Kluyveromyces lactis: one gene and its partner. The protein of the gene in region 2 interacts with the protein of the main gene of each other region in a pairwise test. Links are inferred from orthologs where the notes say so. Each region holds a gene or a part of one and is shown on either strand. Other genes may lie near its edges.

Region 1 (3,016 bases), about 370 kb from region 2:
TATGCGCAATCGTTGGATGCTCGTATTGCGAAGATCAAAGGGACTAGAACTATTATCTCTCATCAAGAAACTAATACAATGACCCATTACCTCCGTTACAAGTTTGACGGTATCATGTTGGGTTGTGGTACTGTCTTGGTTGATGATCCCGGTTTGAACTGTAAATGGTGGCCAGATGATGAGCCAAAACCAGAACATTTTGCTGAACATTCTCCAAGGCCCATAATTTTAGATCCAAACGGGAAATGGAAGTTTGAGGGTTCCAAGATGAAAACTTTGTTTGATTCTGGTGATGGTAAAGCACCAATTGTAGTCGTGAAAAAGCTTCCAGAAGTTGTAGAAGAGAACGTTGACTATTTAGTGATGCAAACTAATTTTACAGGTAAAGTGGACTGGCACGATTTGTTCATCCAATTGAAATCTCAATTCGGATTAAAATCCATCATGGTTGAAGGTGGTGGGATTGTTATCAATGATTTGCTACAGAGACCACACCTTATCGATGCCCTGGTCATCACCGTTGGTGCCACCTTCTTGGGTAGTGAGGGTGTTGAAGTGTCTCCTCTTATTGAAATTAATTTGAAAGATATCTCCTGGTGGAAGGGAACAAGGGATAGCGTGTTATGTTCACGTCTTGTGAGCCATTCCTGATCTTTACCTGTTTTCCTAAAAATTCGAATTCTTATATCAATGAACTCTCTTAATTCAGACATGCTATGTTCAAAACGTGATTAATCATTTCCTTAAATAATTGAAAAAAGAATCGTAATTAGATTATGATATCCCCTGATGGGTTCTCATACGAAGAGTGTGTTTAAGGCCCTATTAGTTTCTCTTGCTCTAATTTGGTCTATTATTATACACACGCATTTACTTTACTTAGGGTTGGGGAATGGCTCTTTTTAATTGCTCTTATAAACAGATTCTGTAACTTGCGTAACGTCCAGAAGTTTCAGACTTTCTAATAATTTTTATAACCTCGCCTCTTTTCAAACCAAGGTATAATGCTACTGGGTCCATTCTTTGGATTCTAGGCAATTGAGATTCCTTTAATCTATATCTTTTTAATAATTCCTTCTTTTCAGCCTCACTTAACCTGATATGCTTTGGGACTAGTTCGTGATGTGTAATATTGACAACCAAAGATGCTTCTGGGAAAGTCTCGATGACTGCTGGTGCTGCAGTTGGTAAAATCTTGTTTGCACTTGGAGTAATACCACTTTGATAGATGAATATACCAGTTTGGAAGTTCTTTTCCGTAATATGAACCACAAAATTCTTCATCGTCTTCACACCAACAGATGCTTCATCACAGAATTCCACCCATAATGAACCCATCTCAGGAAATTTTTCTATTGATTCTTCGGTTGGATTGGACTGGAAAGACATCATCTTACGTTGTGGCTTGCCCATAGAATCACAGTATTTAGCCTTAAAATCTTCTAAACTCAAATCTATTTCCTCCTGGGTAATGAAATATCCACGGTCCCTAACCATTTCCTTCACCGTTTTAAAAGCTCTCCATAGCCTGGAAATGTTTCTCTCCTGCTCTTGATCCATTGTTACAAAAATTGTGCGTCACTTGCCTTTGATATCTTATGAAACTAACTTTTTCCGCTTGAAGATTAGTTCGTATTAAATTCTAAAATGCACAAACAAGTACTAAGAACTCAATTATCGATATGCACAAACAAGTACTAAGAACTCAATTATCGATATGCAAACTAATCTTACCCCTTAATTTCAACCGGTACAAGGACTATTCGGCTACCTAACTTCAATCTTTTCTTAAATTTCAATCAACAAATTAATGGATTTGTTTCTCATCGCTTTCTAAATTTTGGAAAATTTTGGCTGAAAAGAAAAAGAAAAACTTCAACAAACCTTCGAAATTTCAATGCGATGAAAGAAGGAAACAGAGCCAAACCATCAAACTCGTCCTTCATGATTTCAGTCACGTGCCTGTCTTGTGTTGGTATGGAATGCTCTGAGTCAAGGGCGGCAGGTGTAGTTCTATGTTTGTATATATGTCTATATTTAGTTATATATATATATATTGATAAGCCTGGGTGAGAACTTAGTCTCACAGTCTCTCTTAATTTTAAGTCGGTTTACGTCTATATTCAAGAACAATGTCTGTGTTTGATTTCCAGTATAAAGTGCGTATAGCACTCAGGGTGATATCGTTTTCTAGTACTGTTCCTTTGCACAAGATTTCTAACCATTCGCTTGGATCTTCTTTGTTTTTCATCTCAGGTGTCTTTGATTCGAATCTATCCACTATGTAAGTCTTGATCTTTTTTGCCTTTATCATATTTGCAGCTGTTAATCTAACATTGCTATCGTTAATCTTCGGTAGCATTAAGGGTGATTCAGGTGGTTTAGATTTTTTGTGGAACCCTGATCTTTTATGTTCTACTACTAGTCTTTCAGCCTCTGGCGATTGTTGCGTTTCCTCCGATAAATGAGCCTCGTCCTTCCAAGGCTGGATGATGAATGTGATTTTTGGGTACGTCTTAATGACTTTATCCTCTTTGAAAAGAATCTTTCCAAGCCATATCGGGAGATGTCTTTCTAATGATTCATAAGTATGGTAGTTATCGATCAAGTCGTTTGCCGTATATGTAGGGGGTGGGAGATATGTGGAAAATGCAATAGTTTCCCCTGTGGACCCCTCTTTCCAATGGTTGACCGTGAGAATGCATCCACTCTTGATTTGTATCACGGGTCTAGTTGAGTCTCTGATGAACAAAGTCTCGGGGATCCGCCTCCCAAACTTCATGAACGTTGATGAGGAGTTTGGAGCCTGTTTCAAATAAGCGTGATAAACTTCTTCGATATATTCGTTCAAGAAAAGTCCTGGCTTTCGTTCAGACAGATCTTTGGAAAAACTCTTTGAATTGAATTTGAAGTTCACTTCACCATTCCCAGTAGAAGAGATACTATGAAGGTCATCGATGCTGTTAGTTTCTAGTTTTACCCTCGATGATCTGTTATGGAAACCAAATGTGCTTGA
Region 2 (4,770 bases):
CCTTTTACCTAGAGGTCTTTTATTGTCAAACATTGTCAAGAATGGTTCATCTTCAGGCATCCCAATTTCCTTCGCGAGTTCCTTTTTTACGCCAGAATCACCAACATCGTTTTTCAACATGGTTGGTTTTAGGTCTGCAAATGAAAGTATACTCTCGGGATCCATGGACAGGAAGGGTTGCCTATCTTTGATGGAAGACTCAAAGTTGGCCATAATTAATTCAAACTCATCTTCCGTTAGAGGTTCGACCGAATCCGCCAGGGATTTATTTAAATCTGCCAAAAAGATTTCGTCTTCTTCATCCATATTATACAAAGTACCACAGCAATCTTCTAATTGTGCAGAAAACTGGATATAACTCGTAGGACATTTGAATTCACCTTGGTAAAATCTGTCAAACTCGTCCCAAGTTTTCGAGGCGTCTGGTGTTGGAATAAATAGATCCTTCTTGTTCTCTCGAAGCTGATTGGATTGAAGAATTTTGTATAAATGCTCTTCCTTTTCTTCATTCTTCTCCACACCAGTTTCAATCTCCATCAGCTCTCGCTGTTGATGCTGGGAACTGATGGCCGAAACATCTTCTTGTTCCAAATCCTTAATTTCATGGCTCTTATAGATCCGAAGTCGTTGCTTCACGCTGATCTTTCTGTGCCTGAACCTCGATGAATCCACTGCAGGAGCTGGCATACTGCAATGTGTCAATGCCCGTGTGTAGTTACCCTGATAGCTATGCGGCTGAAGCCAAAGAAGGATCTTTGAATTCCAGATTTCAATAGCGAGAAATATGAAAGGAAGGGTAACTACAATTATCCCTCTAAAAAATTGGTTCTTTTACGGGGGCCCAAATTTATTTTCTTCCTGTTTTCGGGGCCAAATTTTGCGAAAAACTTCACTGGCAAGCAATCGGGTGGCGGTGAAGGAGGCAGAAAACAAGGAGACCAAATCTAAAATAGGACTGAAGATAGCAGCTATTGGTACGGATTTTGCAGAACTGATGAAAGTCCTTAAGTATCACTACTGATGGTTGATTCTCAGTAGGTTTGAACGAGCCACCGGACTGTTCTGAAGCGCGTGGTTTTCCTTTTTATGTTGGTTGTTTGGGTGGAACGCAACAGTTTGTCCGGTGAATGGGGGTATTGGTTTTTTCTATATTGAAATCCGAACTTATGGAAAGAAAAAAAAATTTTTTACGTCTTCTACGGAAATATGAACGTCTCCCATAACCACCTTGGTAGACAATAGGAATTTCTGTTCACGTGACTTCCATTGGGTCAAGGTAAATGGTGATGCCAAAAATTGTATGAGCTTCTACCAAAAAGAAAAAAAAACGGAAATCAGTAACTTGACATCCGTAATGAAGTCATCTCATCGCTTGTTGAAAGAGTGAGTTATCTGAGGCAGGTAAAGAGGCTGAGAAAATCAGTCTTAGTCGTGAAACGCAATGGAAACAGCAGAAGGTGGGGCTTCTTTTGCCGAGTTAATGGATACTGTCAAAGGTACCATAGATAATTTGGTAAACAAAAGAACCTTCTTAAAGGAACAGCAGCCGTTGTATGAACAGATATTCGATAGGATAAGAGATGCTGACACGAGCGAAGATTCGGAAGAAGAATGGCAGTATGGTGAGGTAGTATTTCAGAATGGTAAGTTTTTCCAAAATATAGGTTACGATTACTATTTGGAGAAATCTAGGGAAGAATGCCTGGTTTTTATAAAGGTTCGATTGAACTTAATTGCCGAAGCCATTTCACAATTTGATGAGAAACTGAAAGAGGCACATGGCACATTGCGAAACATGGAGTTACTTCGAGACGGTGCAAAATCTTTGGGAGATACGAATGTTTCTAACAATGATGATGACCAGGAAGGTTTCTTTGAGATCAGAGAAGAATTAGACGAAGACGGAAATGTGATACATGCTTCAATGACGCCCGCCAATAAGGTGCATTCGGGCAAAGGTAATGAAGTCCATAGTGATGAACAACAATTGTCACTGAGTCAGGAACGTCAAAATTGTCTTTCACCAGAGACTGCCTTCAATATTCAGAATGATGATCGCTCTTCCGCTTCAGGAACTTCGGAAACTGGCAATAAGACAGGAGAAATCATGGAAGCAGACAAGAGTACCATGCAAATAGCAAAGGAAAACATGTACACATTCGATGATTTGGTAGATCAGTTAGATAAATTGGATAATTATGAAGATGGCGAAATCGACGTAAATGACGTAGAATACGATTTTGATGGGTATGATGAAGAAAGCGACGATAATGAGGAAGATGAAGATTATTCCGTCTCCATAGTTCCTGAAAGAGTTCAGCATTCCTTTATGGAACAAATACAGGCTTTGAGGGCCAACAAAAAACATGATCTCGTACATACAGAATATCGTAATCATTCCCCTGAGCAAGAAGCTAAGTCCATACTTAAGAAAGGCGGTTCGAAGAAGAAAAGTGTCAACTTTGCGCCAAAGCTAGACGTCTTTGAAGTGGAAAATGTGAAACAGGAAACCAAATCTAACACATTTAATTTCCCTAGAAACAGCTATATGGAGTCAGAAATCATCGCATCTGACGGAGAAGATGTTGAATTTGACCCCGATTTGTTCGCGCAGATGATCGGAGCCAAGGAAGCCGACGTATTGCATGAAAAGTACCAACCTGGTAGCATCAACGGCTTGAAGGAATCTGAAGAGCCAGCACTCGCCGCACCTCGAAAGAAGCGTATCTCAAGGTTTAAAAAGGAAAAAGCCGCCACGGAAAAACGCGAGTTTAATACTAATGATGTTGAAATGTTTGAAAAGGAACCAATTGTAGAGGCTGTGGTAACCGACATAGTTGAGCGTGACGACACATCATCGATTTCAGTTGAAAATACTCCGATTAAAACTGGTTCGCCAAACTTTATTCATAAGAAGATGAAGTCCTTACAAAAACCAAAATCGCTGCCAACTAAGACACCATCAATAATTCCCACTGAAGAAATGAACAAAGATGACAGCGGTGCTGAGGGCGAACAAAACAACTCGTCAATTGCGGAAGTCATGAAGGAGAAGCAAGAACTAGTTGAGCCTCATTTCCCTGCGCAAAAGTCTAATGAAATTCATGTCCAGCCAAGAATCGACTTTGCACAATTGGACAACCTTGATGACATGGCAAGAGCATATCTCCTAGGATTATACGATGACGATGTAGAAGATCCTGGCACAGTATTGCAAGACACTTCTGACTTTGAGGCTTATAACAAGATGGTAGAAACTTTGAAGCCTGAATTAAATCAGTTCTTGAAGGAGAATGCAAGCTATGAATATGACATTGAACTGCCACAAAGTGCAGAATCATCACAGAATAACGAGAGCACTATTATTAACGAAATTAAAGAAAGGGATCCAACGGGCGCTGGAGAACAGCCAGTACAAGACGTTGAGGATCAAATCATATACGCAGAAGTTGAGCGAGAATATATGGAACATCGTCGTCGAAATATTGAAAGATTCGCGGTCGCATCCACCTCATCATCCTCAAACACCGAGCACACCATGGAACTTGAGTTAAATGAAGAGTTAGGTAAAGAACCGATTGATGAATTTGGTAACCCGGTCACGACCAGCCGCTTCAAAGCACAAACGCTTGCTTTGAAGAAACATCATCTATCTCAACAGCATCCATAATATCTGGTATGTAGATATTTCTGTAAAAACTTTGCACGTGATATGAGTTGATAGTTCTGGATTACTTTTAGAGAAGTTTACCACAATTGGTGCCTCTCAATGAAAAGGTGCTCGGACCTTCTTAACACATTTTTTGGGCGGAAAGAAGTTCCATTTTGAACATTTTTACACAGTTACATTGAAATAGCCAAAAAAAAAAAAAAAACGTGACACTCAGCAGCCCGTTCCTGATTCTTGGTTATCTACATTTTCTTCTGTAACTGAGGAATAAAAACCTTGTCTCGAACTACAGAAAATAACGCAGCGTGTTTAAGACAGGTCTGAAGTTTATTTTATACAGAAAATCGAAAAACTCCACAATCAGTCACATCACGTGATTATTCCTGTATATCAAAAACTGAACAGCTTTACAAAACGAAATCACTGTCATTGGTTCGTTTCCTAGCGGACAGTTGCTTGCTCCCTCTGGTACGCATACTAACAGTTTGATATCAGAGAGCTGTATTGGTATATCAACTCAAGTGTCAACTACATCAATCAGGTAATGATGTAACTGTGTCAGTTAAATCCCATCAGCCGCATGACATGAAAAAGCCATTTAGCGGTAGGTAAGCCATATCCTATGGACTGAATAGAAACCTCCCGTCATTACCAACCCGCTTGGAAAAGATTTGTAAAATGATTCCTACTCGTCTCATTTCAGGTGATTTCTCTTTCCCAAGTTGCGTATTTCCTGGTGTCTCAGAATGACTCTCTTTTTTTTTTTTTTTTTTTTGGTCAATAGGATAGTTGTACTTCGATTTCAATGTTTATTTTTCATTCTTTCGTGCATGAAACTTCCTTCCGATGAAGTTCCCCATTCAATACGCCCTGCGCCGTCACGCTCCAAAATGTGTGATTTGTAATGTGCACTTGACTGTATACTCTGCAATCGTTTGCCTCGACTTGTGTCCTGCACTAGTTTCTCTATTCTATTCCACTCAGATTATCAGAAAAACCCAAAATTAAACAGAAACAAGAAGGAAAGAAGTATCATATCAATTTTCTGTGTAATGTAAAAATGTGTCTTCCTCTGGGGTTTTGGAACCTTTGAGACATTA

Evidence for each region.
Region 1: the proteins of BUD27 (region 2) and RPB5 interact in a two-hybrid assay, tested with the Saccharomyces cerevisiae proteins (2 studies listed by BioGRID, with this or other methods). The link is inferred for Kluyveromyces lactis from reciprocal best matches to the Saccharomyces cerevisiae genes BUD27 and RPB5.

The regions. Positions count from the first base shown.
Region 1 is NC_006042.1:1,968,122-1,971,137, reverse strand, and holds RPB5 (DNA-directed RNA polymerase core subunit RPB5), read right to left. Parts: upstream 1,561-3,016; coding exon 913-1,560; downstream 1-912. Other genes in the region: RIB7 (2,5-diamino-6-(ribosylamino)-4(3H)-pyrimidinone 5'-phosphate reductase), read left to right, coding at 1-651; DUF1 (Duf1p), read right to left, coding at 2,102-3,016. UniProt on the Saccharomyces cerevisiae protein: DNA-dependent RNA polymerases catalyze the transcription of DNA into RNA using the four ribonucleoside triphosphates as substrates.
Region 2 is NC_006042.1:2,339,945-2,344,714, forward strand, and holds BUD27 (prefoldin-like protein), read left to right. Parts: upstream 1-1,441; coding exon 1,442-3,670; downstream 3,671-4,770. Other genes in the region: EPL1 (Epl1p), read right to left, coding at 1-687. UniProt on the Saccharomyces cerevisiae protein: Involved in gene expression controlled by TOR kinase and nutrient signaling. May also be involved in positioning the proximal bud pole signal.